4 linked regions of the Rhinolophus ferrumequinum genome follow. The protein of the gene in region 2 binds, or shares a complex with, the protein of the main gene of each other region. Links are inferred from orthologs where the notes say so. Each region holds a gene or a part of one and is shown on either strand. Other genes may lie near its edges.

What was found.
Region 1: POLR1H (region 2) and POLR1B share a complex: the UniProt entries of both Homo sapiens proteins name them as parts of the pol I pre-initiation complex. The link is inferred for Rhinolophus ferrumequinum from reciprocal best matches to the Homo sapiens genes POLR1H and POLR1B.
Region 3: POLR1H (region 2) and TAF1B share a complex: the UniProt entries of both Homo sapiens proteins name them as parts of the pol I pre-initiation complex. The link is inferred for Rhinolophus ferrumequinum from reciprocal best matches to the Homo sapiens genes POLR1H and TAF1B.
Region 4: POLR1H (region 2) and POLR1F share a complex: the UniProt entries of both Homo sapiens proteins name them as parts of the RNA polymerase I (Pol I) complex. The link is inferred for Rhinolophus ferrumequinum from reciprocal best matches to the Homo sapiens genes POLR1H and POLR1F.

The regions. Positions count from the first base shown.
Region 1 is NW_022680356.1:219,659-227,127, forward strand, and holds the start of POLR1B (DNA-directed RNA polymerase I subunit RPA2), read right to left. Parts: upstream 3,018-7,469; 5' UTR 2,898-3,017; coding exon 2,721-2,897; intron 1,767-2,720; coding exon 1,599-1,766; intron 1,362-1,598; coding exon 1,215-1,361; intron 94-1,214; coding exon 1-93. UniProt on the Homo sapiens protein: Catalytic core component of RNA polymerase I (Pol I), a DNA-dependent RNA polymerase which synthesizes ribosomal RNA precursors using the four ribonucleoside triphosphates as substrates.
Region 2 is NC_046286.1:687,262-694,188, forward strand, and holds the start of POLR1H (DNA-directed RNA polymerase I subunit RPA12), read left to right. Parts: upstream 1-3,914; 5' UTR 3,915-4,121; coding exon 4,122-4,129; intron 4,130-4,215; coding exon 4,216-4,370; intron 4,371-4,605; coding exon 4,606-4,706; intron 4,707-4,913; coding exon 4,914-5,023; intron 5,024-6,927. UniProt on the Homo sapiens protein: Core component of RNA polymerase I (Pol I), a DNA-dependent RNA polymerase which synthesizes ribosomal RNA precursors using the four ribonucleoside triphosphates as substrates. Can mediate Pol I proofreading of the nascent RNA transcript.
Region 3 is NC_046296.1:65,800,272-65,808,115, forward strand, and holds the start of TAF1B (TATA box-binding protein-associated factor RNA polymerase I subunit B), read right to left. Parts: upstream 3,002-7,844; 5' UTR 2,779-3,001; coding exon 2,761-2,778; intron 1,431-2,760; coding exon 1,332-1,430; intron 1-1,331. UniProt on the Homo sapiens protein: Component of RNA polymerase I core factor complex that acts as a GTF2B/TFIIB-like factor and plays a key role in multiple steps during transcription initiation such as pre-initiation complex (PIC) assembly and postpolymerase recruitment events in polymerase I (Pol I) transcription.
Region 4 is NC_046303.1:19,977,684-19,984,629, forward strand, and holds the start of POLR1F (DNA-directed RNA polymerase I subunit RPA43), read left to right. Parts: upstream 1-3,926; 5' UTR 3,927-3,949; coding exon 3,950-4,203; intron 4,204-6,946. UniProt on the Homo sapiens protein: Component of RNA polymerase I (Pol I), a DNA-dependent RNA polymerase which synthesizes ribosomal RNA precursors using the four ribonucleoside triphosphates as substrates.

The sequences.
Region 1 (7,469 bases), on a different chromosome or scaffold from region 2:
TCTCACCGTAGCAATGGGGAAATTTCTCCGAGGCATGATCAACATTCTGACGACCTTTTCGATGCCATTGACTATAAAATAGCCTCCCATTTCCTGCCAAAGAGACGACTTATCATGTTAAACAAAGATATGTCACTAACTTAAATGGGACACCAACTAACTGCAAACATCAAAGTCACTCCCACAGATGCGGTGTAATGTGCTGAGAGGGGCATACAGGTGACAGAGCCATGGGTCCCTGGGAAACTGTCAGTGTGTGAACTAAATCTTCTCAAGCACACAAAAAAGGTGCAGGGGCCTGGGAGGAAAGTATGGAAGGAAATCAAAGTACTTTCTCTACCAGACAGTCCTGACTTAACTTGCCTTTCTGTCCCCTAAAATGACTTCAGTTTTCAAATGACATTAAAACAAATAAAAAACGGTAACCATTTCGTTTCCAGATGAGTATGGTCCCAAACAAGGTAAAAAACTGCTGACTGTATGAAAGCTCTGGAAACCAGAAATTCAGACTATAGGAAAACATTTTTAATCGCTCCAATCAATATCACATTTCTGTAATAAACAGCTCCTATACTGATTGCCTACCATGAAGCAGGCATGCCATGCTAGTACACTGTGTTGTCATAATATGTCATTCTCACAACAACGAGTGGGGTAGCTACTGTGCCCGTTTTCAGCAGAGGAAACAGGCTCAGGAGACTGAACTGTCCAAAGCCACACGACTGGTAAGTGGAGCAGCTGAGTGTCAAACCCAGATGTGACAGTACAGCCCTCTTCCCACTGATAACACAGCTCTCCATGAAGGCACTCTGCATGTCTTGGTTACTGCAAAGCCATCTCACACAGCTAAAAGAAATGCCAAAGGGAAGGCATCTCAAGCATTTAATATGCTCAAAGAATCTTACTGTTGGCGAAGCAGACATTTTAGACAATAGTTTTGTGGATTAAGATGGCTTAAAAAATAAGTATGTCTCCAAATGGGTACCATTCAGAAAACTGGGGAAACTATCAATTCTCCCCGTAATACCCTCTACTGCATAGCCACTTTTTCACACTGTCTCATTTGAGACTCATCATGAACCATACACAATATCAGACAAGACATTAATGCCCCATTTTGCCTTTGCAGAAATGAAGCAGAGAAAGAAAAACTGGGTCCACACTCAGACCCCCGCCATCGCCACCTGGCTGCCCAGTGCCCGGAATGCGCTCACCTCTGGTTCCTCATGGTGTTCAATGAGGGCTTTGGGCGGAAGGCCGTACAAATTGCACAGCTTGGACTTCACCATGATGGGAACATAGCCAAGAAACTGCTTGATGACTCCTCTTGAGACTCCATTCACTGCCCAGCTGATATCGGCCTAAATGAAAACAATGACTTGAGAAAAAAGAAAATATTGGGATCTGCAAGAACAAATGAGCATTTTAAAAGAGGGAGGAGACCACAGATTAAATGATTTTATGCTTTTAGACTTAAAAGCTGGGATTTCTTGGATGATGGTACCAAGAAAGCAGAATTCTGGTTACACTTTATTGGGCACCAGCCTTATTCTCAGACATGTACAGCATGCGAGTCACACACTGTCACTTGCACTCACTGTCAACTTTCCCCGGTAGGTACTCCTCCGGCCTCGGCATTCTGCTGGATAAACGTTGAGCTCTTTGCAGATGCTTCCCTTGGGGACTGTGGGAGGACTGATGACAGCATCCACGACAGTGAGAGACACACGCTCCTCTTTGAAAGCAAATTCAAATGGAGGTACAGCCTGAAATGCAATTCACGCTATTAACTGCTTGCATGGCCAAGGCCCTCTTTCACTAAGACCCTTCTAAATCCCATGCATTTTCTACAAAACTATAATGCTAATGTGACACATCTAGATGACAGTGAAAACTACTTCCAGTCTACTCACACCCTCACTACGTACCTAAAACTAGAAGGCATTAACTCCAATATTTGAGTGTCTGCCACGTGTCAGATTCCTAGAAGGTCCTAGGAACGTATGTACACAGAACAAAGCTGTTCTCTGACCAAAGAGCCTGCCTACTCTCTTCTTACTTTGCATCCTCTATAAGCACAGCAAGACTAATGGGACTGCTGCCAAGGATATGGAAGCACCTCCTGATCCAGGACCAGACACTAATGCGATTCTTTATGCTGATATTTGTACAGTTCATCCAACTGTGGCCTCATACTGAGGCCAGAGTCATACAAAGAGGACGGTGGTCACCATCGTGGTTCTTCCCCTTACCCAGCTGCTGCTTTTCTGTACCACTCCCTGGGGGAAGCTTTGCTGTTCCACTGAGGAAAGGGCACCACTGAGCTCTCTTAGCATGTTAACCATGGACAACCAACTGTGGTTGAGAAGCACAGCCCAGGCGGACCACCTCCCCACTCTCTCAGCACCCAGAAACTGCTCTGCAAAATGCTACGGTTCCCAATCCCATATAAATCCACGAATCACGAATGCATCTTCCCCTGGTCGACTGGAGCCCAAGCCCCGCGCTGAGCCTGGCATAATCACGGAGCACCACCATTTGGGATTATACTGTGACCTCTCAGCCAACTCTCTGGGCCCTGTAGCCCGCCTCCTGGGTCTCCCCTTCCCTTTCTCCTCCCACCACGTCCGCCTCCGGCCTCGCAGGGCCCCTTTGCTCCGCCTGCCCGAGCGGCGCCAGCGAGCGCGGAGCTGGGAGGGCTCCTGAGGCGCCGCACTCACCTGCACCGCGTGGCCGAGCCCCTCGCGCACCGCGTAGTTGAAGGACTCGACGTGCGCCTGCGTCAGTTCCTGCAGCGCCGGCTTCTGCTGCTCCGGCGGGACCCCGTAAGAGGGGTCCGTCAAGTGCTTGAGGCTGGGCTCGCGGGGCAGGCCCCGCCACCGGCTGCCAGGATCCATGCGGCACCTGCACGCCTGCCTCCAGCCACTCTCCGAAGCACCGGAAGGAAGCACGGTGCCCACGGCCTCCTGGGAAATGTAGCTCTTCTACTTCCGCCGGAAATCTGCCCGTCCTTTACATAGGGCCGACTTGGAAGCGAAACCGTGGTGTGAAGGGGCCGGTGTACAACTGTACCGAGACGGTACGCTCCCGCCCCACTCAGCGTTGCCCTCTGGCTCTCGTTCCTTCCACCAGTAGAGGCTGGTGGAGAGCAGTCTTCAATGCGCCGCTATTTTCCCCGCGACCACTTCCCGATCATTGCTGATGCCCACCCTGGGCAGACCCCAGCCGCGTCTCGGCTTCTAGAAACAAGCTGGCTGACTGCCCTCTACCCCACTGGAATCGTGAGGGCACCTCGCGGAACGGTCAGGTGGTCTGCGCTCGCTGACGGCTTCCTTTGTCCTGGGGTCCGGCAGCCGCCACGGGGCCTCCCAGCCCTGTAGCCTCTCTGAGTCCTAGGAGCCACCATCTTTCCAGTGGGGATTTACCAAGGAGTGCCTCAACTCGTCTTCGTGTGTGTGTCTTTAACAGCCGCGTTCGCTATGGCGGGATGATCGACAGTAAACACACACACTTAAAATGGAACCCTTGGTAAGTTTACCTGTATGTCACCTGTGACGCCATCGCCACGATTCGGATAGAGTCAGTCCACCACTCCCAAGTAGCCTCCTGACCCTTGGGAATCCCTCCCTCGCGGCGATTTCATCTATATTCCTGATTGGTGGGCTTGCTTTTCCTGTAATGTCTTTGTCTGGTTTCCCTATCAGAGTTAACAGTGGCCTCACAGAACCACTTGGGACGTGTTCCCTCCTCTTCCATTTTTTGGATTGGTGTTAATTACTCTTCAAACACTTCGTAGAGTTCATCACTCAAGCTATCTGGTGCTGGGCTTTTCCATTTGGGAAGATATTTTGATCATTAATTCAGTCTCTTGTCAGGTCTATTCAGATTTTCTGTATCTTCTTTATAGTCACTTTCGTCAGTTTTGTATCTTTCTAGGAATGTGCCCGTAAATATCGATTATCTAATTTGTTGGCATACAACTGTTCATAGGATTCCCCTGTAATCCTACTTGTGTTGTAGTAATATACCCTCTCTCATTCCTCATTTTAGTAATTTAAGTTCTCTTTTTTTTCCTCCTTGCTCAGTCTAGCTAAAGTTTTGTCTATTTGATTGATCTTTTCAAAGCACTAACTTTTGGTCTTGTTGATTTCTTCTTTTTTTCTATTCTCTGTTTCATTTATTTCCATTCTAATCTTTATTATTTCTTTCTACTTTTTTGGGTTTCGTTTACTCTTTTTCTAGTTTCTGAAGGGGGAAGAAACCTAAAGGGTGTTGATTTGAGATTTCTTAAAGTTTATGGTGGTGACAATAGTTAGTAAAGTTACATAGATTTCAGCTGGAGATCTTTTTTTAATGTAGACATTTTAACATAAATTTCCCTTTAGGAACAGCTTTAGCTGCATTGCATAAGTTTTGGTATGTTCTCATTTTCATCTATCTCAAAGTATTCTAATTTCCCTTGTGATTTCTTTCTTTGATCCCATTATTTAGGGATCTCATTATTTAGGGATAATGAGATCCCTTTGATCTCATTATTTAGGACTGTGGTTTCAATTTCCACATATTTGTGATTTTCCCAAATCTATTTGTTAATGATTTCTCATTTATTTGATGTGGTCAGAGGACAGATGTAGCATAAGTTCAATCATTTTTAATTCACTGAGACTTGTAGTATGGTCTGGCATATGGTTTATCTCACAGAATATTCCACGTGTACTTGAGAAGAATGTGTATTTTGCTACTGTTGGATGGCAAGCTCTATAGATATTTGTTAGATTTAGTTGGTTTATAGTGTTTTCTACTTCCCGTTGATCTTCTATTTGTTCTATCCATTATTAAAAGTGGAGGATTGAAGGCTCCAACTAATATTATTGAACTTTCTCTTCAAATCTTCTATTTTTCCTTCATGTATCTGGGGGCTTTGTTGCTAGGTTCATATGTTTAGAATTAATTTGATGGATTGATCCTTTTATCATTAAAAAATGTCCTTTGCCTGTAGTCACAATTTTGTTTCTCAAAGCTTATTTTGTCAGGGGGAGGAGGATGGCAGATGAGGGTAATGGGGATCCCATGTATGGTGATGGAAAGAGAACTGACTCTGAGTGGTGAACACACAATGTGATATATAGATGATGTAATACAGAATGGTACACCTGAAATTTGTGCAACTTTACTAACAATTGTCACCCCAATAAGCTTCAATTAAAAAAAAAATTATTTTGTCTAATATTATTTGTCTACTATTAGTATGGCCGCTCAAGCTCTCCCTGAGTTACTGTTTGCATGGTATATCTTTTTCCATCCTTTTACTTTCACCTGCTTGTTGTTTCTTAGTCTAAAGTGCGTCTTCAGCAGATAGCACTTCAGAGTTGGATCATGGTTGTTTTGGCTTTTTAAAATCCATTTTGCCAATCTGTCTTTTGATTGGAGTGTTTAATCCATTTACATTTAATGAAACTACTGATAAGGTAGGGTTTATGTATGCCATTTTTGCTATTTGTTTTCTATTTGCCTTATATGCTCCCCGTTCCTTCATTACTGCCTTCTCTTTTGTTAAATAGGTATTTTCTAGTGTAACACTTTAGTTTCCTTGTCTTTTTTTTACTATATATTTAAAGTTATTTTCTTAGTGGTTGGTGTGTCTTGTTGTGGATCTCTTTGAGTCTATCCTACCTAGTTTGAATTTCTTGCATGCATTTTAATGTTTCTCGTCAAAGTGGGAAAGTTTTCTTCCAATGTTTCTTCCCCTCCCCTCTCTTCTAGGGCTCCTGTATGTATATATGCTGGTATACATCCACGCCTCTAGGTAGATCTCTGGAGCACTGTTTATTTTTCCTCATTCTTTTTTCTTTCTGTTCCTAAAACTGGATAATCTCAGTTGGCTTCAGATTTACCGATGGCTTCTTTTGCCAGCTCTAACTTGCTTTTGAACACCTCTACTGAATTTTTCATCGGCATCATTGTACTTGGTTCTATTTAAAATACAATTTCTATCTCTTTAATGATGATATGCCCTCTGATGACACATCGTTCTCAGTCTCATTTAGTTCTTCAAACACATTTTAAATAATTAAAGTCTGTGTAATGAGTCCAATGCCTGGGTTTCCTTAGGCACCGTGTCTATTGACTGCCTCTTTCCTCTGTGAGGCTTACTTTCTTTTTTCTTTGCATGTCCCATGATTTGTGTTGAAAATTGGAAAATTTTAATAATATAATCAGGCAACTTTGGAAACCAGATGTTCTCCCCTCTCCAGGATTAATTGTTGTAGCTCTTTGTGTTTTTAGTGACTTTGCTAAACTAAAGCTTGTATTCTTTCTTGGGTGTGGCCACTGAAGTCTCTGCTAAGTTAGCTTAGTGATTAACTAATGATTGAACAGATTTCCTTAAAAGCCTGGAGCCAGTAATTCTCCCAGTATTTGCCAAGGGGCCATGTGTGTGCGCGCACGCGCGTTTGGCATGCCCTCATGCTCAGGAAGGTGTTTTACAGCTCTGTCTTAGTCTTCACTTCCTGCTTGTGCAGATCCACCTGGTTAGAGATGAAAGCTAAGGGCACACACACAGCCCTACACATGTGTGTGGCCTTCCATATTCTTAGGAATGTTGAAGCTTTTCAAAACCTCCTATGGAAGTCTCAGTTAGGAGGGACAATCTGTTGACTTATGTATTGAATGACATGCTGGGTTCAGCCAGTGACGGCCACTTCTGGCCTGTTTTTGTATGGCCTATGTGCTAAGGATGTTTTGTATATTTTCTAAGAGTTGGGGAAGAGACAAAGAAGAAACTGCAACAGAGACCCCACATGGCTTACAAAGTCTAGAATATTTACTGTCTGGCCCTTTACAGAAAGTCTGCCTGTGGCTGGGTAACAGAATCATGGATTCAACCCACCAGTGAGTCCTAGGACAATCAACACCCACAATAAGACTATGAGACCTTAGGGGACAAAAACATTTGAAATATTATTACTTTAATGCCCCAGGCATTTTAAACATTCATAAGATCGCCGTTTTTCAGAAGTCATGTCTTCCTAGGTACAGAGCTTGTGTCCAGGATCAGAGCCAAGGGCACCACTGATTCCTTTAAAGCAGAACATGCTGTGGGGGCCACCCTGGTGCCTGACTTCTCTAGTGGAGTCCCCACCACACCCACAAGAGGGCTGGGTCCACTCTGCTTGACACAACCACAACTGCTCATGAAATACACTCTGTAGCTTCACTGTGCTGTGGTTCTGTGCATCCCGGACCGTCCCAGCACAACCACGTCTCCCACGTCTGTGACAGCTGTCCAGGGCGCAAGGGGGATAGCGTGTCGGCTGGTAAGTATGCCAGCACCTGCTCCACCGCATCAGGCACTGAGGCACTTGAATGTTCTGGGCAGAGTGGAGTTCGTAATCCCCTAGGAGTTAGTGTGAGGACAGGGGCTTTTCTCTCAGGAAGTAGTAACCTTAACATGTAGTTAGCAGATTGAT
Region 2 (6,927 bases):
GTTCTGAGATAAATCTAGACTGCTGTGTTATCAGTTCTTCCTCTTTCTGCAGTTTCTTGATCTGTGCCCTCTGTGTCCCTATCAGCACACCTAGCATCTCTGTCCTCTAAATCTTGTTCTGAAATTCTGTTCCTCCTTGTATTGCCTATTCATCCCTCACCTTAAATCCATTATGAGACCATTCCCTGTTGAACCCTTTATGACCCACTTGTGTTTACTCTAGGTTTATTTACAGAACAGGCTGATCGCAACACAAGTGAAGATTACCAACTTTTTATGTCATCCTTGGTCTAATCTGAGTTTACTGTGAAGTCATATTTAAGTCACTGAAGATGCCTGGCATTTCACCTCTATGCCCTTTTTAAAAAAAAAAAAATACCATTTATGGTTAAAAGCATGGGCTTTGAAGCCTGACAGGCCTATGTTTGAATCCTCATTCCACCACTTCCCAGGTGTGTGACTCAGGGCAAGCAACTTAATCTCCTTCTACATCAGTTTCCTCATCTATAAAATGGATATGACAAAAATCTAATTCTCAGGGTAAATAAAAACAAATGTGAATTAGATTAAAGAGCTTGACACAATGCTTGATATATGGTAAGTTCTCAATAAATGCCAGTTGTCTATCCTCCATAGGTCAAGCCCCTAATTCTCTATAAAGTCTTTTTGGTTTACTCTATGTAACAGTGATTTTACCTTCTTCTGAACACTTAACATTTTTTACTTCTACAACTCATTTGAAAATCAGTCATGGTTTACACTGCGATATCTATATTCATATATCATTTCAAAATTTTAATGCTGAAATTTACACTCCTAAAGGGTGGGGATTATAATTTATGTCTACAAATACAATGATGTATCTATATAATCAGAAAGGATCTGATATTAAGTATTGGGTCTCACTGATCTCTTAGACACATTTTTATTTGCCTGATTATGTATAGCTATTTTGAGACTTCAGAAATTGCCATCTTACTTTTCTTTCTCAGTACATAGCATCTAACACAGTATTTAACATTAGATTCTGTGATCCCAAGTTCTCATAATGATTTATTGATTGGTGATTATCCTTATCACATAAAATCTGAGCATCTTTCTCTCTTATGTTCCCTGTAACATTATATTTATTTTTATTAAAACCGTTACAAGTTTTAAAATCCTCATTCCTGCCACACCCAGAGGGAGGTGGTAGTTCCAACTTGTAGTTTTATTGTACCAAGGGAATTCTCCCTATATCATATGCCTTTAAATGGAATTAACTTTTTAATTATATAGTAAAGACAAATACAAACTTTTTAAAACTGTGAAAAAATAGCAATGAAATTATAAACAAAAAAACGAGAATACATTCTGATGTGCAGAATATTATTTTTAATTTCCTTTTAGATTGTGAGTGTCTCGTACCCAGTTTCATGGGCACCTCTTGTCCCAAGCACACCCCACCTGCCTACCACCACAGCCCAAGTGTATTGTACTCACTCCCAGATGGAGAAGGAGTTAGGGAGAGTAGAGGCTGAGAGGATGGACCGCCCAAGTGCTGTGGGCCATAGGCTCCGCGCCTTCCAGGGAGACGGGAGGCCTGGTCCAGACAATCTTAATGGGACGCAAAAGCTAGACTTTGGTTTGTTTTTTGGGGGGAGTTATTGTTTTCCTTTAAGTTTCTTTTGTAATTTTGTTAGTTGGTAAATTCTGTGTGATCTTTTTCATAAAAAGAAAAAGCTATAATTGGAAAAGTAAAAAACAAAACAAAAGCATTTGCCAGTCTTCCCTGAACTATACAGGCATATTTGTTTTATATGACTGTCCTGGGTTCTCACATTTTGTCCCACTAATGTACTTTCATTGTATTCTAATTATTCATTTGTACTTTTTTTTTTATTATTAATTAATTTTTATTGGGGAACAGTGTGTTTCTCCAGGGCCCATCAGCTCCAAGTTGTTGTCCTTCAATCTAGTTGTGGAGGGCGCAGCTCACTGGCCCATGTGGGAATCGAACCGGCAACCCTGTTGTTCAGAGCTCGCGCTCTAACCGACTGAGCCATCCGGCCGCCCCTCATTTGTACTTTTTAAGGTCAGAGAACACACTTTTCAACTTTGCAGCCCCAGCCTCAGCTCAAAGATTGGCAATAGGTGCTTAATAAATACTAACTGAACAGACTGTGAGCTTTGGTTGGAAAAGCACCATGCCTTCTAAAGCTGGTGCTGTTCCTTTACTGCATTAGAACAGTGTTCAACTCATGGCGGGTCTTCAATGAAAAGGGAAAGTTGGTGAAAATTTCCATTTTCAAAGGAGACACACACACAGAAAAGTGAAAATAAATATTGTCTATCATCATGGGCCCAGCAACTGACCTCCCTGTGTAAGACAGGGAACAAGACACCCAAGTAAGTAAAATTATGGGGCTTGTCACTCGCTGGTAGCTTGCTTAGAGTTCTAAACCTTCAACTATTGTTTCTTTCCATTATTGCAGAGAAAAGAAGACCAGAGCCTTTCTCAAGGAGAGACCACAGCTTGTCTCTTTCAGAGGAGAAAATACTGATGGCTCCAGAACTTTTATATGTAAGGATCTTAGCAGTTATCTGATTGGGTGGGGATGGAAGGGCCGGGAAGTAACTAGGAAACTCATCCAGAAGCTATCCCTTTAGGACAAGTTTCTACTTTAGATTGTATTTACAGATGATTGAAAATAGCAAGATTTTCTAAAGATATTTGTCCTCACGTTTTCCAAAAGATTTGGGAAACGTCAACTGTCCACATAATGGAGGATGATGATGATTGAGAGTTCGTTGGATGGGAGGTGAGGGACGAGGTGGACGTAGGTCTGCAACTGAAAGCCAAACTTGACCTAAGTCTTAATGAAATCCTATCCAAGGCTGCTCCTTTGACTAATGGTAGTGTCTAAGGAGGGGCGGTCCCAACAACCTCTTCTGTTTTGCCACCTCCAATGTCCTGAGCCACTCCTCAAGTGTCCCCTTTCATTGCGGCTTCCTGTCCTTCCCAGGGACTAACCATTTCTCCTCCACTTCCACCCTCACCACTTCCTGCCCCTTAAGAAGCTGATTGAGGCCCGCAGGGCAGCTCAGGTGGTTGCCCAGCAGTGCTTCTAATTCTGAGGTCCCCAGTCCCACATGGGCCGGTGAGCTGCGCCCTCTTCAGCTCAGATTGTGAACAACAGCTCTCCTTGGAGCTGGGCTGCTGTGTGCCGCCATGGGCTACCATGAGCTGCTGTGAGTGGCCAACCTAGCCACCAGCGACCAACTGCCTCAGCTGTGGGGAAGCGCAAAGCTCATAACACCAGCATGGGCCAGGGAGCTGTGTCCTACACAACTAGACTGAGAAACAGTGGCTTAAACCAGAGTGTGTGGGGGGAGGCGGAAGAAGGGGGATAAAAGGAAAAAAAAAAGCTGACTTACCCCTTCCAAAGGCGCGGAAGAGGCCTTTGGCTCCCAAATCACGGGAGCCATTTGGGTTCTGCCTAAGACCCTGTGTGGCCCGGGAGGTGCAAGGAACACTAGAACTTCCGAAATGCTTAGTTTTGTTTTTAGCCACTGCGCAGCCGCAAAAGCGAAATAAAGGCCCAAGAACGGCGGGAATTGTAGCTCTCTATTCCAAATTAATATTTGGTAAGGTTAGTACGATTTTGGGGGGGAATGTCTGCCCCCCCCACCCCACCCCCATCCCCGCCTCACTGGGTGCGAGACCAAGAAAATAAACATCCCAGGTTTGGGTCCTGAGGGGAAAAGTAGAGAGAGGCGCAGCATCGATTACCCGTTTTCTTACCCGAAGTCGCAGAACGAAGCTGAAGGTGGCGCTGCAACCTTCCTGCAGAGAGGCTCCTCTCCTTCAATTAAGATTCTCAGGATCACGTTTGCGATTAATGATGACGTCACAGCCCAGTGAGGCGGACCGCGTCGACGCTCTAGCCCGCCGGGCGCTCGCTGCCCCGCTGCCTGTGCAGAGTAGGCGCTCTAGTCCGCGGAGTTAGCTTCCTCTTCTCGCCAGCGCGGGGGAAGAGCCCTCCATCCGGCGGTACCAGACGCGGGCTGGGAATTCCGGGTGCTCGGTTCCCTCGGTCCCAGAGACACGAGACGTGCGTGGGAGGAGGGCTCGCGTTTGTATGCTTAGGTCCAGGAACGGAATAGGAATGACCCCTGAGTGGGGAGGGGGCTACTTTCTCTCTTTTGTTAATAACCTTCTCATCCCCTTCCCAGCCCTCGACCCCCGTCTGTCATGGACCTCGCCGGCACCTGCTCCAGCTTTCAGTCGGACCTGGATTTCTGTCCTGATTGCGGCTCGGTCCTGCCTCTGCCAGGAACTCAGGATACAGTCACTTGTACGCGCTGTGGCTTCTCCGTCAACGTGCGAGGTGAGGGGCTTCTCCGCAGGGGCCCGGGCTGAGGGCCCAGTATGGAAGGGTCGGCGGCTTGGAGACCTCCAGATCGGTTCGATTGGAGGGGGACTCTAAAGCAGGAGATCAAGTGCTTACACTTTTCGTCTTGGGACGAAACCTGAAGGGAACGGTGTAGAGTAGGGCCACCTGGGAGTTGTGCGCGTCAGCTACTTCAGCGTGTTTGTACAACTAGTTTTTACTGCCTGCGCAGACTTCGAAGGGAAGGTTGTGAAGACCTCAGTTGTGTTCCACAAACTGGGGACGGTCATGCCTATGTCGGTGGAGGAAGGACCTGAATGCCAGGGACCCGTGGTAAGTTAAGGATATCAAGGACGGCCCCATAAGGAGGGTGGGAATGAAACGGAGGGGTGATTGCTGAGATCTGGAGAGCTTTGTACCCAGTTCCAAGTGGGAAGAGGAGCGTTTAGAGCAGCAGTGTCCGAGGAGTGTTATAGCCTGCTTCCTGTGAGAAGGAGCGGGGTATGACTAGGCCTCCTTAACCCACCAGTTGCTTCCCAGGTTGACAGGCGCTGCTCTCGATGCGGTCACGAGGGAATGGCATACCACACCAGACAAATGCGCTCAGCTGATGAAGGGCAGACTGTCTTCTACACCTGTACCAACTGCAAGTGGGTAACTTTACCTTGCTTCTCCCCTTTCTAAGTCCGTTTGCTAACCAAACTAATCCAGGGGTTTACTTTTTGCACTGAATAAACAATTGTTTCTTTTGGTCCCATCCATTTCTATACAGTTCAAGAAATAATAGGGAGATTTGTGGTCGTTTTTATTTTTCAAAATTACATGTATCCTTTTACTAGCCAGTGAACTAAACCTTTTAAGATACTTAAAAGGAAATGAAAAATACAGAAAGCCAGTATTGCTTAGGGGTTAGCATGTTATGTGGGAATATTCCACTGCACTCAAGGAAGTTGTACTTGGGAATTAGTGGAGTATGATTTAAAGAACATGGGCTCTCTGATGATTTTAGGAACTCCTCTTTGCCTTTGGTGTTCTGCAGTTTCATTACAATTTATCAAGATGCGGTTTTCTTTTATTCATCCTATTTGGGATTTGTTGAACTTTTTGAAACTGAGGATTGATTTTTCTTTTTTCCCATCAACCTGGGAAAGTTATCAGCCATTATGTCATTGAATATTGCTTTTCCCTCATGACCTCAATTCTCACATTCTGGAATTCTAATTAAAGAGCTGTTTATTAGACCATCTATCCTCCATTCCTCTGTCTTTCATATTTTCCATCTCTTTTTATGCTGCTTCTGGGTAATTTCTTCAGGTCTCTCTTCCAGGTCACTAATTCTGTCTTCAGTTTATTTCAATTATTACGTTAAATTTTTTGAGTTCTACTTGATCATTTTTCAAATCTCAGTCATCTTAAAGAATTCCTGATTCCTTAATCATCTTTTATTTTTTAATTTTTTATTGGGGAGTGTTGGGGAACAGTGTGTTTTTCTAGGGCCCATCAGCTCCAAGTCAGTTCATTGTCCTCCAATATAGTTGTGGAGGATGCATGCAGCTCACTGGCTCATGTGGGAATCGAACCGACAGCTCTGTTGGTAAGATCTTGTGCTCTAACCAACTGAGCCACCTGGCCGCCCCTGAATCATCTTTTAATTGCACTTTTTATTCTTAAAATATTTATTACGTGTAAATATATTAAACATGGCTATTTATAGTCTGTCTCTGATAATTCCAGTACCTAGTGTTTTTCTGGGTCTGATGCTGCTGTCTGTTATTTCTGCTGACTTTCATGGTGCTTTGTTTTGTGATTTTTGACTGTTCGGATTTTTTTTAGAATTTGAACTATGGGAATTCTTTGAGGCCTGGGTTGAATGCCATTGTCTCAGCATTTGTGTATCTTGTTAAGGTGCCTTGAGGCACTACCAAGACAGAATCACTTTTAAATAAATTCTTGGCTTCAGGATTTTTTGGACTACACAGCTAGTATGAATCTGAGCTGCAAATCCATGTAAGGACCAGCTTTTTCTTTCTCTACCTAGTGAGACAAATTCCCCTTTTATAGAGTTAAATTTGTTTTTTTTTTTCCTATTCACTTTTACAGAGGGGTAGCCCCTTGGAGGTCCCAAATTTATGCAGAATATCTATCAGACATTGTATTACAGGTTTTTCTTTTGTTCCTTCATATTGCTGTCAAAACAGCAAGGGCGCCATCGTAGCAGGGGCTTCAGTTTTACCTGTTTAGTTTCCTGATTTTATATCATTTTACCAGTGTGAAGATTGCCTTTACTTTCTTGCCATCTCATCAATGGATTAAAAAATATTTATTGTTAGATACATCTTTTAAGAATATTTTCCCTAGTCTTACCTATTTATTTTCTTAACTTATTTTTTTAAATGAGCAGAAGTTTTTGATTTTTATCAGGTTCAGTTTATCCTTTTTCCTTTATGGCTACTGCTTTTTGTGTCCCAAGAAATCTTTGCATACAAGTCTGACAATTAAGTTCGTGAACTTGCCACCATGTGCTTACACTGGCAGCACTGTACAAACAGCTCAG
Region 3 (7,844 bases), on a different chromosome or scaffold from region 2:
ACTACCAGTCTGCCTTAACATGCATCAAAGCAGAGGATCAAACTACACATATTACAGTATACAATATGGTGTGTGTGTGTGTCCATGAATCCATCACCATAATCAAGAAAATAAACAGATCCATCACCCCAACCATTTCATTGAATGAGCACTTATATTTTTAATACTGTGTGACTAAATGGGAAGGACATAAGAATTGCTACTGCAGACAGAACAATGATTATCTCAGTCATCGAAAAGGAAAAGCTCTTGTGTGACTGAGTTGCAAGCTAACTTAACCACTTTTCTCAAGGGAAAATATTTTTTTACTTGTTTCATATATTTTCCCATGTTTTTAGTTATTTATGGTAGGAAGGTAAATCGGGTGCCTGTTACTCCATCTTGGCCAGCAGCAGAAGTCTACACAGTTACTTTCATCTATCCCAAATTTGCCTTTCTTAAGCCAATGTGGTGAAGGTAATATTTGTTCCTTCCTGGCTCTGTAGACTTTGAGCAAATCCTTTTCCAGAGAAGAGCCCTGGCATGTTTAGCCTGTCCAACAGCAGGCTGTCCATACCCTTGATTATTTTGGTTATTTTCCTGAAGATGTGTAACCAGAACAGGACCTAGCCCCCCACCGGGTGAAGGTAACCTCATTTACCAATGCCACATAGGACAGTATGACAATCTCTATTTTAAGAGGCAGGTGCAGTGGGTAAAATGAACACTCAACTCAGAAGACTCAGGTTCGATTCCTGGCTCAACACTTCATAATTGTGTGACTTTGGCAAACTCATTCTACTGGTGAGCCCTACTTGCTGTGTCTATAGATATGCATAATAGTATATATCTCAAATACTATTGTTACAAGGGGCAAATTCAATAATGGGTAAGAAAAGACTTGGTAATCTGTAAGGTACTGTACGAAGAAAAATAATAATGAAGCATATTTCCAATACTCTCAACAGTCCTCAATCTTTCTAACACTTCATCTTCCAAACCTCTAAGCTACCACGACACATTAAAAACTCTTAAATAAGTATTAACTAATAAAAAGAAATGCATCATCTTCTAAATACAATTTTAATTATTCCCCCTTAGACTATACTGTCTGAATCTGGAAATCATTTATATATAAACGGCCCAACATAATTTCAAAAACTCACTCTAAATCTAATTTACAAATTCCTTAACCCTTGTGTAAGCACTTGAAGACTATTTACATTCTTGGAATTTGGGCATTGCATGAGTGATTAAAAATAGATCAGTTCTTTAGGAACTATGACATATATCAGGCTGAAATTGCAATTTTTAAAACATGAGCAAATTTATACATGAGATTTGTTACTTACTTCTGTAACGTTGTGGCAAGAAGTGCAATAATATTTGCCTTCATCAGTAAGACCCCAAGAGACAGCAGCACACTGAGTACAGCGTTCTCTGAATTCTTTCTGCAGGACAAGAGGAAAACCACATTCAATGCATTGTCCCTAAAGCCTGCAATTCTACTACAGGGTTCCCTGCAATTTTACCCTATACATTAAAAATTATAGAAAACATATCAGAGAGATTATCTATAAATGGGGAGAAAAGAGATTCGGTTTCCTGAGCAGTTCGAAATGGAATTAAAATTTCTAAAATATGCAGTGTGTGAGGGAAAAAATGGGGGGGAAAAAGGTGGTAGGAGTAAAATGGAAAAAAAAAAGTGAGTAAATAAAACTTGAAAATGCTAGGATGAAAAAAGATGACAAGGTTTAAGTATAGAGAAGACTTAAAAATAGAAACAGCATACATTGTAACTTCCTCCAGGACACTAAACACATACTCGCTACAAAGGAACCAGATTTTTATTAGGGTTGTTTCCAGTTTCAACTTATTCATTCAGCAATACAAGGAGTATCAACTATGTAGTACCAGGAATTTAAGTGCTGGGGATTCAGTGGTGAGCAAACTAGACAGGATCCCTACTCATAGGTATACAGGCTGATGGTGAGTTATAATGATTAATGACATTAACTCAGCATTTACAGATGTTACCCATCCATCATTCAATACACATCTATTGAGCATCCACAATAAGTAAGGCCTTCTATTTCTATCATTCTTCTATACATACATAGACTGTTCCTAAATTACTGATTTCCAACTCTTTGGTGTTTGACATTATTATCTAATTATGATCTAATTATGGAATACTCCTTTAATAAAGAGTGCGGCATTTTATGTAGTATGTGGAAAATGAATGTCAAATTTATTTCGACAAGTTAGTCAAGTTTTTATTAACCCCCTATTGATAACTATCAATACTTGGAGTGTCCTCACAACCGAATTTGGAATCCCTGCACCAAACGGTGGCGAGGATTCCCGAAGACTGGCAGGGGTTACTTGGGGGCATTCAAGTTTCAACGCCGGCGCTCCCTCGCCCGCCCCAACATCAAAGGGAACTTGTAGGTGGTCCTCTCGAGAGAGGATGAGCCACGCGGGTGGCCACCCCACAAAACCCACAACTTCGTCCTTCTCCTGAAACACACCCATATCGGCTAATACCGCTCCCCCTTCACCCACAACCCCATCCTGCCAGAAACTCCATCCTCTTTCCCCAAATCGCAAGCTCACACGCCCGCCAGCCCCATTCCTTTCCCCGCCCCCCAGCGTTCCGCCCCGCCCTCCTTCGGCCTGGGGCCGCACCCACAGCGTGTCCGCGTCCTCCAACCCCTTCTCCTCAGTTTCATTCCCCTCCCGCCCCGCTGTCCCGACCCGCCCGGCTCACGGCCCGCTCACCGCCTCCTCTAGGTCCATAACAGTACCGCCTCCGACACAGCCCGGCCTGTTACTAGCGCAGCGAGTGCAGCTTCCGGGAGCAGCGGAAGCAGCCCTCCGGGGGGAAACTGAGACACTGACTTTGGGTTCCGGGCCTTACGGCTGCCGGGAAGGCTCCTGGGGAGAAGCTCGCAAATCCTGCATCCCTCTCCCAGACAGCATCCCCTTCCTGGTCGAGGTAACTGAAACCAACCAGTAAGAAACTGGGCGGTGCCTAATACGGAACTGATCCCTCACGCTCTCCTTTGAAAGCTGTTAATCCAACCGGTGTTGAATCAGTAAGACCCTCGTATTGATTCAGGCTGCAGGAGAAGCGATGGAGGCCCACGTTCTCGGACCGCTGGCACCTTCCACTTCGTACTGTCTTTTAATAGCACAGGAGAGACATAGGGTCCTGGAGGAAAGAATGCAGGTTGAGTTAGACCTGGGTTTCTAATCACGGCTTTTCTGCTTCCTTGTGCCTCAGTTTCCTTCTCTGTAAAAATTAGCTATTACCTATGAGTCCCTTCTAATTGAGCCTCACGTAGTAAGTGCTCATTAAATTTAGCTTTTAGTGTGCCTTCATTGGGCACATTCATTCCCTGATTTATTCGTTAGACCCTGAGGATTCAGCAGTGAACAAAGTAAACAAAAGTCCCTGCCTTCATGGAGGTTATATTTTTGGGGGTGAGAGACAAAAATAAATAAGGAAATACATGGTATGATAAATGGTGACGGGTACCAAGGAGAAAGCAGGATAGAGAATGGGAGCTATCAGATGGTTTCACTTTTTAATAGGGTGGTCAAGAAAAGTCTTACTGAGAAGATGACCTTGAAGGCAAGGAAGCAAGAGCCAAGTTGGGAACAGCATTCCAGTCAGAGGGAACAGTAAAGACAGTGCCCTGAGCCTCATGTCATATCATTTGAGGATCAGCAAGGTAGTCAGTAAGTGGCTGGAACAGTGAGCTAAAGGAAGAGTAGAAAATGTGATTGGGGCAAAATATGGTTTTAAGGAACTTGACTGGTGATGGAAGGAGAACTGACTCTGGGTGGTGAACACAGAATATGATTTATAGATGATGTAATACAGAATTGTACGCCTGAAATCTATGTAACTTTACTAACAACTGTCACCCCGATAAAATTTAATTAAAAAAAAAAAGAAAATGTGGTTGGGGCAAAATACGGTTTTAAGGAATTTGAGTTGGAGAAATTGGGGGAGCCACTGGAGGAGTTACATGATCTGACTTATGTTTCGCAGATTAGTCTGGCTGTTGTGGGGAGAACAGAGTGCTAGGCGGCAAAGGCAGAAGTTGGGAGACAAGTCAGGAGACTAATAGCCTAATCCAGACAAGTTATAATGGTAACTTGACCCAGGTAAAGGCAATGGAGACAGTGAGAAGTAGACAGAACCTGGAAGTACAGATTTTGAAGGTAGAGCCATAAGGATATTTCGATGGACAAGACGTGCGCTATAAGAGAGAGAAAGGAGTCAAGGATGATGTCAAGACCTTTGCCCTGAGCAACTGTAAGGGTGAAGCTATCACTGAGTAGGACTGTGTGTGGAACAGTTTGAGAGTGGGACAGAGGAAGATTAAGAATTTTATTTTGGACTTGTTATGTTAGAGCTATCTAGAGGACATCCAGGTAGGATGAGAAGGCAATTGGATATAGGAACCTAGAGTTCAGAGGCAAATTCTGGACTGGAAGTAAACATTTGGAAGTTATCTCTATCTAGATGGCATTTAAAGAGGCTAGATGAGATCACCAAGGGAGATCAAAATATGAAGATAGAAAGGCCTCTCAAATAAAAATGACATTTGAAAGGAAACATAAAAGAAATGGGGGACCCCGTCATGCAGATGTTTGGGGGATTAGCACTCCGGACCTAGACAGTAAGGTGGTCCTTAATAAGCCAGGAAGTGGTAGATGACCTGAGATCAGAGAGGTGGCCAGGGCCAGGCCATGACTCAAGTCTTGTGGTTTGTAGTAAGGACATCAGAGCTCATCCTCAGTAAGATGGAAAGCAGAAGCGTGACAGAAGCTGCCTCATATTTTAGATGGTTTCCTCTGGGCTATGGAGAATAGGTTGGAAGGGGGCGAAGGGGGAGCTGGGAGATCACTTAGGAGGCAACTGAAATAACCCAGGTGTGGGCTGTTATAGGGTGAGCATGGTGAGGCTGATGAGGAGTGGTCACCTTCAAAGGTATAAGCAGAAAGTCTTTCCTGATGGGTTGGATGTGGCGTGTGAGAGAAAGAGAGGAGTGAAAGATGACTGCAAAGTTTTGTGTCTGATCCTATCTAAGAATGCAGGTGCCATGTACTGAGGTGGGAGAAACTTTGGTGTAGGCTCATGATAGAGTTCAGATGTAAAAGTTGGGTTTATGTTTAAGTTAGTGATGCCTATTCGCTATCCAAAGGGCGATGCTAAGTATGCTGTGCAATACACGAGTTTGATGTTCAGGGGAAAAGTAACCACTGGATGTGTAACTGGGAGGCAGGAGCCTGGATAAAATATCAAGGGTATGAGTGTAGAGAGGACTGAGACCTGGGCACTGCAACATAGAGAAGTCGGGACCACAAAGGAGGATTGACAAAAGGGGGCTAAGAATGAATGCCCACAAGATAGAAGGAAAGTCCGGAGAGTGTGGATTCCTGGAAGCCAAGTGAAGAGAGTGTGTCCAAAAGGAGGATGCCATCAACTGTGTCACATGCTCCTGAGAACTGCAATGACCAGGTTGGGAAATGGGGTCATCAGTGACCTTGACAAGAGTGGCTTCATTGTTGGGGATAAAAGCCAAATAGAGTGAGTTCAATAGAAAATGGTGGAAGAGTGTGGGCCACTCTTGTGGGGGATTTGGTTGTAGACAGAAGCAAAGGAGCCGTAGCCGGTCGGTGATGTAAAATCAGGGAGATTTTTATGTGTTTGTCTGTTTTTGTCTCTTTGCTTGCTTAAGATGTCTATAAGCTGATAGAAATGAACTCTCAGAGAAAAATGATGGTGCAAAAGAGAGAGGGAATGATTTTAGGGGTCTGTCACTGAACTGGGGAGAGGGGATGGATCCACATGGGCAACTCGTGTGTGGCAGAACCAGGAAAGAAGGGGAGGCATTGGAGTCAGAGGCAGGCACTGGTGGGAACAAGGTGGAGGGCTCTTCTGATTGTTCCTCCTGAAATACGACGCAAGCCATTGCCGAGCATGGAAGTGGGAGGGTTGTACAAGGTCTGAGGAGAGAGCAGAGGTGTAATATCCCTTGGAAATGGGAGAGTTATATCAGAAATCTAGTAAATTGTCAGGGAGCATTAGGGGGCCCTGGACATCTGTGATCATAAATATAAAGATAAGGCCAGTCAACACACCCAGCCATTCAGCTGCTTACTTTGTTGAAACATCCCCTTTGCCCCAAAGGGACAAATTAAGTGCATCCACAACTTGGAAAATATCTGCTAGGTAGTATACTGCTGACAGCCACTTGTCATGGCAGGAATATGTGCCTTTTTGTTTAAAAAGATAACTTATCACAAGTCTGACAGGTCTTTTTGAGTATTTCGCCAGGAGATAATCAACAACCTTCTGTGTGGAACATAGGACTTTCACAGATATTCAGCTCACACAGATTACGGTAACAGTCCCATGGCGTCTGAAAGGTCTTGTGTGTATAAAATTAACCACATCCATGGTATTCTGCAGCAATGTGTGGACTCAACTTTTGCTGCCCTTCCTGCTGGTGATTGAGGCAGTGGATGGGTTACAACCAGCACACTGCCAACAGTCTTGTCTCAGAGTTCTTTATTATTTTATTCAAAGCAGACAATCCTCCGTGGTTACATGAACACAATTTTACCACAAAATATTGTGTTTATAAAAGAAATGATTTATTGCCCAGAGTATCTGCTGCTCCCTGGTGCCTCTTCCCATTAATGGTGCCTCAAAAGTAGTTTTTTCTACATGCTGTTAGTGACACAGAACCTAGAGACCCTCATGAACAGGGACTTGTTAGAAATATCTATATTTTATCCAACTATATCACAAACCTTCAAATTACAAACCTGTGTCTCTTGTTCTAATACTTGTTTCTTCTAAATTTTCAGCATTTTCTACACCTTCCAACAGTTTTTGCAACAGTATTTGTCATCTGTTATTTCAGCCATGTTTCTCATGGCAGAATGATAGAAAACAGGTAAATATAAAATGTAACTTTAGGGACTGATAAATGCTTTAAAGCTGGGTAGGTATATAGGGTGACAGGTGGGGGAAATGAACAGAGTTTGTTTAGGGTCATCAGAGAGACCTCTCTGAAGAGGGATCAGTTGAGCCAAGATGACAATGCAGTGAGAGCCTGGGGGGCTAAGTCCTAGGGAGAGTGAAAAGACCCTGCCTGAGGCAGGTCTGGACTTGGTGTGTTTGAGGAACAAAAGGAAGCCAGTGTGGCCGGAGGGTAACGGGTGAAAGGTAGAGTCATGGGCCTCGGGGTCAGAGCGTTGGGTAAGGCCCCGTTGCCACAGGTCTTCTGGACCCACAGGGTTGATATTTGGCCAGTACACCCATGAGGCCTGTACCACGTATTCCTTGTATGTCCCTCCTGGCTACCATCGTTGGCTCCCACCAAGGGAGGGAGAAGGGACGCCTGGTAGATCAACTAGTGGCCGTGGCTACCTGGTACTGCCCACTTAACCCATGCCTGCCTGTGGGGGTGGCGACCTTCACAGGGTTTGGGTTCAGAGAGAGCTGGGGAAAGCCTGGGGGAGCAGCCATGTGGGCCCCACACAGGCACTAGCCAGGCATTTGGGCCTCTGTTAGAATAGCAAGTATGGTCTGGGGGAGACTGGAGGAAGGAAAGGCCTGAGGACACCAGGGTGCTGCTTCCTCTTCTCCCCATTCTTACTGAATTGCACTTCTATTCGGGGGCATACATTTGTTCAAACCCAACACAGCCTTCCAGCCACGGGTACTGACAACTGGTTTTCTTAGTAAAGTGAGAGCTAATGCATATCTAGCATTTTCTGAGCCAGGCACCATTCTAAACATGTTACCTCATTTGAATATTATAATCATCAGCAGCCCC
Region 4 (6,946 bases), on a different chromosome or scaffold from region 2:
GCTTGCAAAATATGAACTCTATTCTGTTCAATAAAATGTAATAGAATGTGCTGTTATTTTTTTATTCATTGCAAGCGTGGTGTACATTATCGATTTGTTCAATCTAATAAGAAAGTAGAAAGGGCTATCAAACTCAAAAATTGATCCCAAGTCTTCTTTTGAAGGACTGAGGTACAAAAAAGCCGACCACAATAGCTGCCTTGATTTTTGCCATCCCTGCAGTTCTTAGGGCTAAGGCGAAACTTTACAAACTGAAAGCTCACGCTTGCCATCTGCTGACATATCTGTGAATTACAAGTGGTCTGCATCAACCAATAGCTGGTGAATCTATATTGTGTTCCGATTTTTGTTTGCTTTTGTTTCTTCATTTCCAAAACCCATTAGGCAAATTTTAAACATGTATTTTCCCCAGCAGCAGTGTATTTTACAATTTATTCAACTACTGAAAGAAAACTACTATTTCCCAAACTAAACTCATTTATTTCAAACAAGTGGTTTGTATTGTATCGACTTTAATTCTTCCTACTGACAAACGAAATTGCAAATTTGTTTCTCAGAGTATCTAGTTCGTACCTAAAATTGATTTTATCAATAAAACGTTTTAAGAGGATACTATATTGAAAGCTTTAATTTGTTTTAAGCTGAATCAAATGCTTATGTATATAGATTGTTTATAATGGCAGTGCATTGAAGAGGAGGTGCTAATAATCATTTTAAGAACTCCAAAACAAAAGGATCATTCCCAGAGGTGAGGCTAAGGCATTCTCCAGTTTTTATTCATTGTCTAATCCAAATTTTCCTCTTAAGGCCAGGGCTCTACCTCGCTCTTCATCCAAGAAAGTTGTATGCTCCTGCTCCCAAATTCAGCTTTAAAGGCTTAATTAGGCTGAAGCAAACATATTATAACTGAAGTGTGGATTGTGGACTCAAAAAAATATTATTAAGTATTTAACGTAGGCTAATCCCTGTGCCTAGTATTGAACTGTCATTATCTCTTTAATTCTCACAACTTCTCAATACCATCATACCTCTACTGTACAGATTAGGAAGTTGAAGTTTAAAAAGACTAGGCAAGTTGTCCAAGGTGACCGTGCCGACGACACCCAGACAACCTGACTCTAGCACCTGGCTCCTATCAGACGTGTCATATTGCCTGAATTATTTTCTGCAAGACTGCCCACACTCTTACTTTGGCCAAAAACGGTGCTTTTTTGAAATGTTCTCACGTCTGCTAAAAGGGTAGTATTTAGGGTTTCCAGGCGGGAATTCCCGCCCGTTCTTAGGAATTTTTTTTCGTTTTCCCCTTCCCGAATCCCGAGAAAAGTTGGTTGGGAAATCCGGAAAAATCCGCTCCTTGAACCCAGGTGTTTGGTAGTATCAGCTGTCACTTTGTGGAAACGATTCATCGTAGAGAACAGAAAAGAGTTTGTATCTCGGGATTTAGGAACGGGAAAGCGAAAAAAATTCCTGCGAATGGGCGGGAATTCCCACCTGGAAACCCTAGTAGTATTTACCAGTTTGACGTGATTTCCACCGTAACACTTTTTAGAAATAAGCCACCCATTTTCCTGACTGTTGTAATTTCTTCCTTTATCAGCTTTGGTTCTGTGTACAGGAAACATGATGATTTTTAGTGATTCTCAGCCTGAGCTGTGGAATAATTCATGTCTGGTTTAGATTTCTTAATTGACAAACACCTGTGTCTTCTTCTGCAAGTCATTCATTCATTCATTCACTCAAGAAATATGTGTGCGGCCCTAGGCTTGTAGCTGTTAACAATACAGATGGGGTTGCCAGCATCACGGGGCTGACATCTTCCAATTTTCCCTAGAACCTAGTCTCCTCATCTGTAAATATGTATAATAAATATAATAAGTAATAAGTGCATAAGTACCTATGAAGATTCTGTGTTGGTGATTTGTATAAAGCAGGTTTGTATTGAAGCTTAGCTAAGATGATGACGATCGTGGTAATTGTTACAAGGTTGATGAAATCGCCACTCATTCTGCCAATTTAATAAAATCAACTCTTAAGGGTCGTGAAACCCTCCCTGCTAGTAGTATTATTATTACTCTATATCCAGAGGGGCTTCCAATACCCCATCAGGTGAGGTGTATGACAGAAGTATCCTCTGATGCTCTCTCAGGCAAAGGACAAAGTACTTGAGATCAGAAGCATTCCATGAACTGGATTGCTCTTGTGTAAGTTCCAGAATCTAGGCAAGAGGTGGTGTGTGCTTCCCCCGTCCCTCAGGAAACTGCACGGCCGCCAAGAAAGAAAGCCCACTCTAACCTGCTGGAGGATGAGACACATGGAGTCACATCTGACCACAGCTGAGCTCAGTCCAAACTTGTACCCACAGAATTATGAACGAAATTAGCAGTTATTTAAAGCCACTAAATATGGGGGTGGTTTGTTGGGCAGCAAACGTCAACTGATGCAATGGCATTTTTTACCTGGAATGCCTTTATATGAAATTCTTTTCTTTAAGCCTTTACACATAGCTCAAACTTTCTAATTTCATCCCTTCGTTAAAGTCTACCCTAATAATTTTAGCTTTCAAGAAAAAAGAAAGAAATATGCCTAATATCACACATCTAGTAGGTGGCAGAGTCAGGATTCAGACTCAAATGATGTGACTTTAGCACTCAGAATCTTCACCTGGCCCTATATGAAACTGTGTAAAAATAGAGGGTTTCTTGTAACAACCAAACTCTTCAACAATAGGGATTCTTTTGCTCATTAAGTTTCTGATTGTTTTTTTTTTAGTATAAAACAATACACATTCATTACAATAATATATGAAAATTTGAATGAGTAAAAAAAGCCTTAAACCCACCCTCAAGAAATACCTAATATTAATACATGGTATTTATACATAGATTCTTTTCTAATCATATGTGTGCATATTTCCTATAAAAATTGGAGCACCTGGCACAAACTACTTTATAATTTATTTCAGAAAAGCACAACTTATTGTATATTTAGATTGTTACAGAGATTCTTTGCTGGGAGAGGGAGAGGGAGAAGGCCAAAAGTGGATCAAGGACCATGGGTAGTGGCTAGCGAATAATGTGAAGTGTGATGAATGAAACTACTGGGGGCAGGTCATTAAAAAGTACGGTGGACCTGCAATTTAAGAGCCATATTAAGGAGTCGGTATTATGCTGAAGAAAATGGGGCACCTAGGTGGGCTTTGAAGGGCAAGTCATGTTCATATTTGTGTGTTCCGAGAAAATCTGGCTGCTCTAGTGTCCTCTTGACCACTGGGCTAAGCTTCCACATGCAGTCTCATAGTTTTGGAAGCGAGGATGGAAAGAAGTGTCCGAAGAGATTGGTGTTTTGGCTTTGGCACCATAGGCCTTGGGGCCGATTGTTATTTGGGGGTACAAAAGAGGCCCGAGTATGACAGCTGGACTGAGCTATTCGGACAGCGGCGGTACAACTTTCTGAATCAGTGATTACAGAGCGAGAAAAGAAGACGCGCTGAAGAGAGATGATGAGTTCGTTTTCAGATGTGTGGCATTTGAGGCATTTGGGCTGCTTTTTAGGATTGGGTTCCCTGCGGAAAATATATTCCTTACAGACTTTTTAAATTTATCATCGTCAAGTCCAAGCTTGGAAAATCTACCAGACCACCTTACTGTTGGCAATGATCAAAGTGTACCCCTTAGTCAGTCTACATACTACATCCAATGAGGACATTAGCAAAAACACAGGTTTGCCCGCCCGTAAGAGACTAGGTGGTTGCAGATCTTCGAGCATGCTTCGTAAGGAACCTCAGGGCGACAAAGCGGTTGCCCCCTGCTGGTCAGAATTGCATAACGCCCGCGAGGAGAGAGATTTCCTAGGGGCGTGGTCGCCGGCGGTGACGTATAAAGGGCGAGTCCGGCAACGGGCGGTGATGCTGGCGTCAGTCGGGCGCGCCGCGGGGAACCTGGGGAGCCGCATGGCTGCCGGGTGTTCGGAGGCTCCGCGGCCGAGGGCGGCCTCCGAGGGGCCGGGCGTGGGAGCGGCCGGCGTGCTGCCTTGCCTGGAGCTGCCGACGTACGCTGCTGCCTGCGCACTCGTACACAGCCGCTACTCCTGCCTGGTGGTGGGGCCGCACCGCAGGCACATCGCGCTGTCGCCACGCTACCTTAACAGGAAACGCACCGGGATCCGCGAGCAGCTCGATGCGGAGCTCCTGCGCTATTCTGAAAGGTACCACTCTTTGAGCCATTGTCTTCAACTAGCGGGCAACGCCACGACGTAGCTTGCCACCCCTTCTTGGGGTACGGGAGCGGGCCTCAGGGGGACGTGCTGATGGCGCAGGAGAAAAGGGGCTCGTGGGAAACGTCGCCCCGGCCACCCTGAGCTGAGTCCCGAGGCGTCCTGGACTCGTGATGCTCTCTCGAAAGGCCAGTACCTCCTTAGACAAGAAAGAAAACGTAAAGGTGACTTGGCGGAAGAAGCTCGCTCGACCACCCTCGTGTAAGGGTACGAATAGGCCAGGGGTCTGGAGACCCGTTAAACCCGGTTCTGTAAGTTTCTCATTTGGCAATGAAAATTGGGAATGAAGTACTTCAGTAGATTCTCTCTCGTTCAATAGAAAACTGCACATGGAGCATTAGTACAATTTTTGTTTGTAAACCATGAAGGACGATTTTATTATTTTTTTGTTTGTTTTGGCCCTGGTACTTGCTCAGGGATGAGAGAAGTACTATGAGTTTTATTTTGTTTTGTTTTTAAGAACAGGCAGTTTATTTAGTTTGACTGGCCTGCCTGTTGCTCTTGAGGGTGAAAAAACCTGGTGCTTTTAAATTGAGATATTCAAGAGTCCTTAAACACTCTGCGAATTGCAAGGGTAGAGGGTTAGGGAGACAGGGCAGATAGATGTACCTTGCTACTCCTCTAGACTACTTGGTTCAAAGGCAAGGGTGAGTGGGCTCCCTAGGGATTCGTTGTTACCCTCCAGGAATTTCAGGAGTCCCTGGGAAATTGCAGGAATTTCCTATGCCAATTTTCTTAAGCAGAGTATACAAAGCTTTCATCACTTTCTCAAGGGATCCTGAAACCTACACAAAGTTAAGAATTCAAATAGAATGTTCAACTTCCTCCAAGCACCAGCACACACTTGTTGTGTGTCTATTTTGTATACTAGGGACTTGGGGTAGGAAAACAAAGAAAAAACAAGATCTGTACCTGAAGGAACTTTAAGCTCTAGTAGAGATATAATGTAAGCCAAATCCAATAAAATGTTAAAAATTCATCAGAAATCTAAATTATAAATAAGAGAAGGAGTGGTGATTTTAACCTTAAAACCTTTGAGAACAACTTGATCGGAGGAGGGTACCTGGAGATGGTAACCTTCCAGGCAAAAAGAGTGACCTAAACAAATGGATAGTAGATGTACAATAGAATGCTTTGACCCAAGAATTTTAATAGGTGGATAAGGTTTTGGTCAGAAGAAAGACAATGGGTGCAGTTGGGGCGAGTGGGGAGTGTCCTGATGGGGGACAACTCAAAGAATGGCCATTCTGCTCGTCCCTTCCAGCCTGTGCCCGGTTTTGCTTTTCTGTTTTGTTTTGTTTTCCTTCAGCTGGGTTAGCCCAATACCCTCTGACTCTGAAACTTGGCATACTCTTGAGAGAGTAGTACATATCCCTGATCTCTGTGACATTATCAAATCTGCAGTTTAAGAAACTAAGCCGCAACTCTGATTCTGATTTGGAAGAATTCAATGATGGTTTAAGGAGGGTGAGCTAGTAGTTAGGAGACCAATTAAGAGAGGAGACCAATTATAAGAGTGTTATAATTGCCCATGAGAAAGATGATTAGAGAGGAAAAATTCGAGAGGTTTAAGGATATATGAGGTGCTCATAAAGTCTGGAAACATAGGCAATTGTTTGTATTTTACAACTTTCTGTAATCAGTTAATGCCTCCACTGACAGGTTAGAGCAGGGGTGTCCAAACTTTTTTCAACGGTTTTCACCAAGGGCCATATGCGGTAAAATACACAAAAGGCCGGGCCACTCACTCGAGGTGACGTACGTATTGCCTCACCTGGTTTATTTAAGTAAACTAAATATATTTCTGGAATTTGCTGCAGGCCAGTTAACAATGGATCACGGGCCACATTTGGCCCGCGGGCTGCAGTTTTGACACCCCTGGGTTAGAGGAAAGTCACCACAGTGTCTCCAATAGGAGGGGGCCATTACACCAGAGAGACTAGGACTGATTGAGTGGTAGTTTCTATAACTGAATTAGGCAATGTGGCCACGCGGAGCAGCTTGCACTCTGAACAGATCTGGACTCTCCCTACTCCCACACTTGTATCCTTTAATCAGTGCAACTTTAGCACCACACATTGAGCTGTGCATTACCAGTGAGACACAAAACATTGAACATAGCAGGAATTGTAATCTCAGTCAATTGTTTATCATGTGTAGTTGTTTATGTTTGCAGACTGGGGCCACCCTGTAGAATCAAGAGGACTTGCTTCTCTTTGTTTTAGAAATGATGAAAAGGGAGAAACTGGTAATGGCTCCTATATCAGTGTCTGGGTTATCTCAACAGCACTCCCTATTTGACAGACTTCACCTTTTTTAAAGATAACCTATTTCGATTTTGAAAAGCCTGCTTAAAGTAAGTAGTTTTCTAAAATCACGTTATTTTTGGACTAAATTATATCTTTGAGAGGCCATCAAGAAAAAACAAGTCTTATTTCTCTTGTATATGACAGCTCTTAAGTTTTTTGAAGGTGGCAAATATGTTCCCTCCCACTAGTTCTATAGAAGCCTTAAATGTGCAATCTAAGCATCTCTTAAACTTGATTTAATTGTTCTGTAAATATCTTAAGTGAGGCTACCATCCTGACCTAAAACCTACTTAGGATGGTTTCAGAAAAACAAAAAAGGGGAAAAGGTATATAGTGTTGAGGTGTTTGTAAATCTGATGACTTTT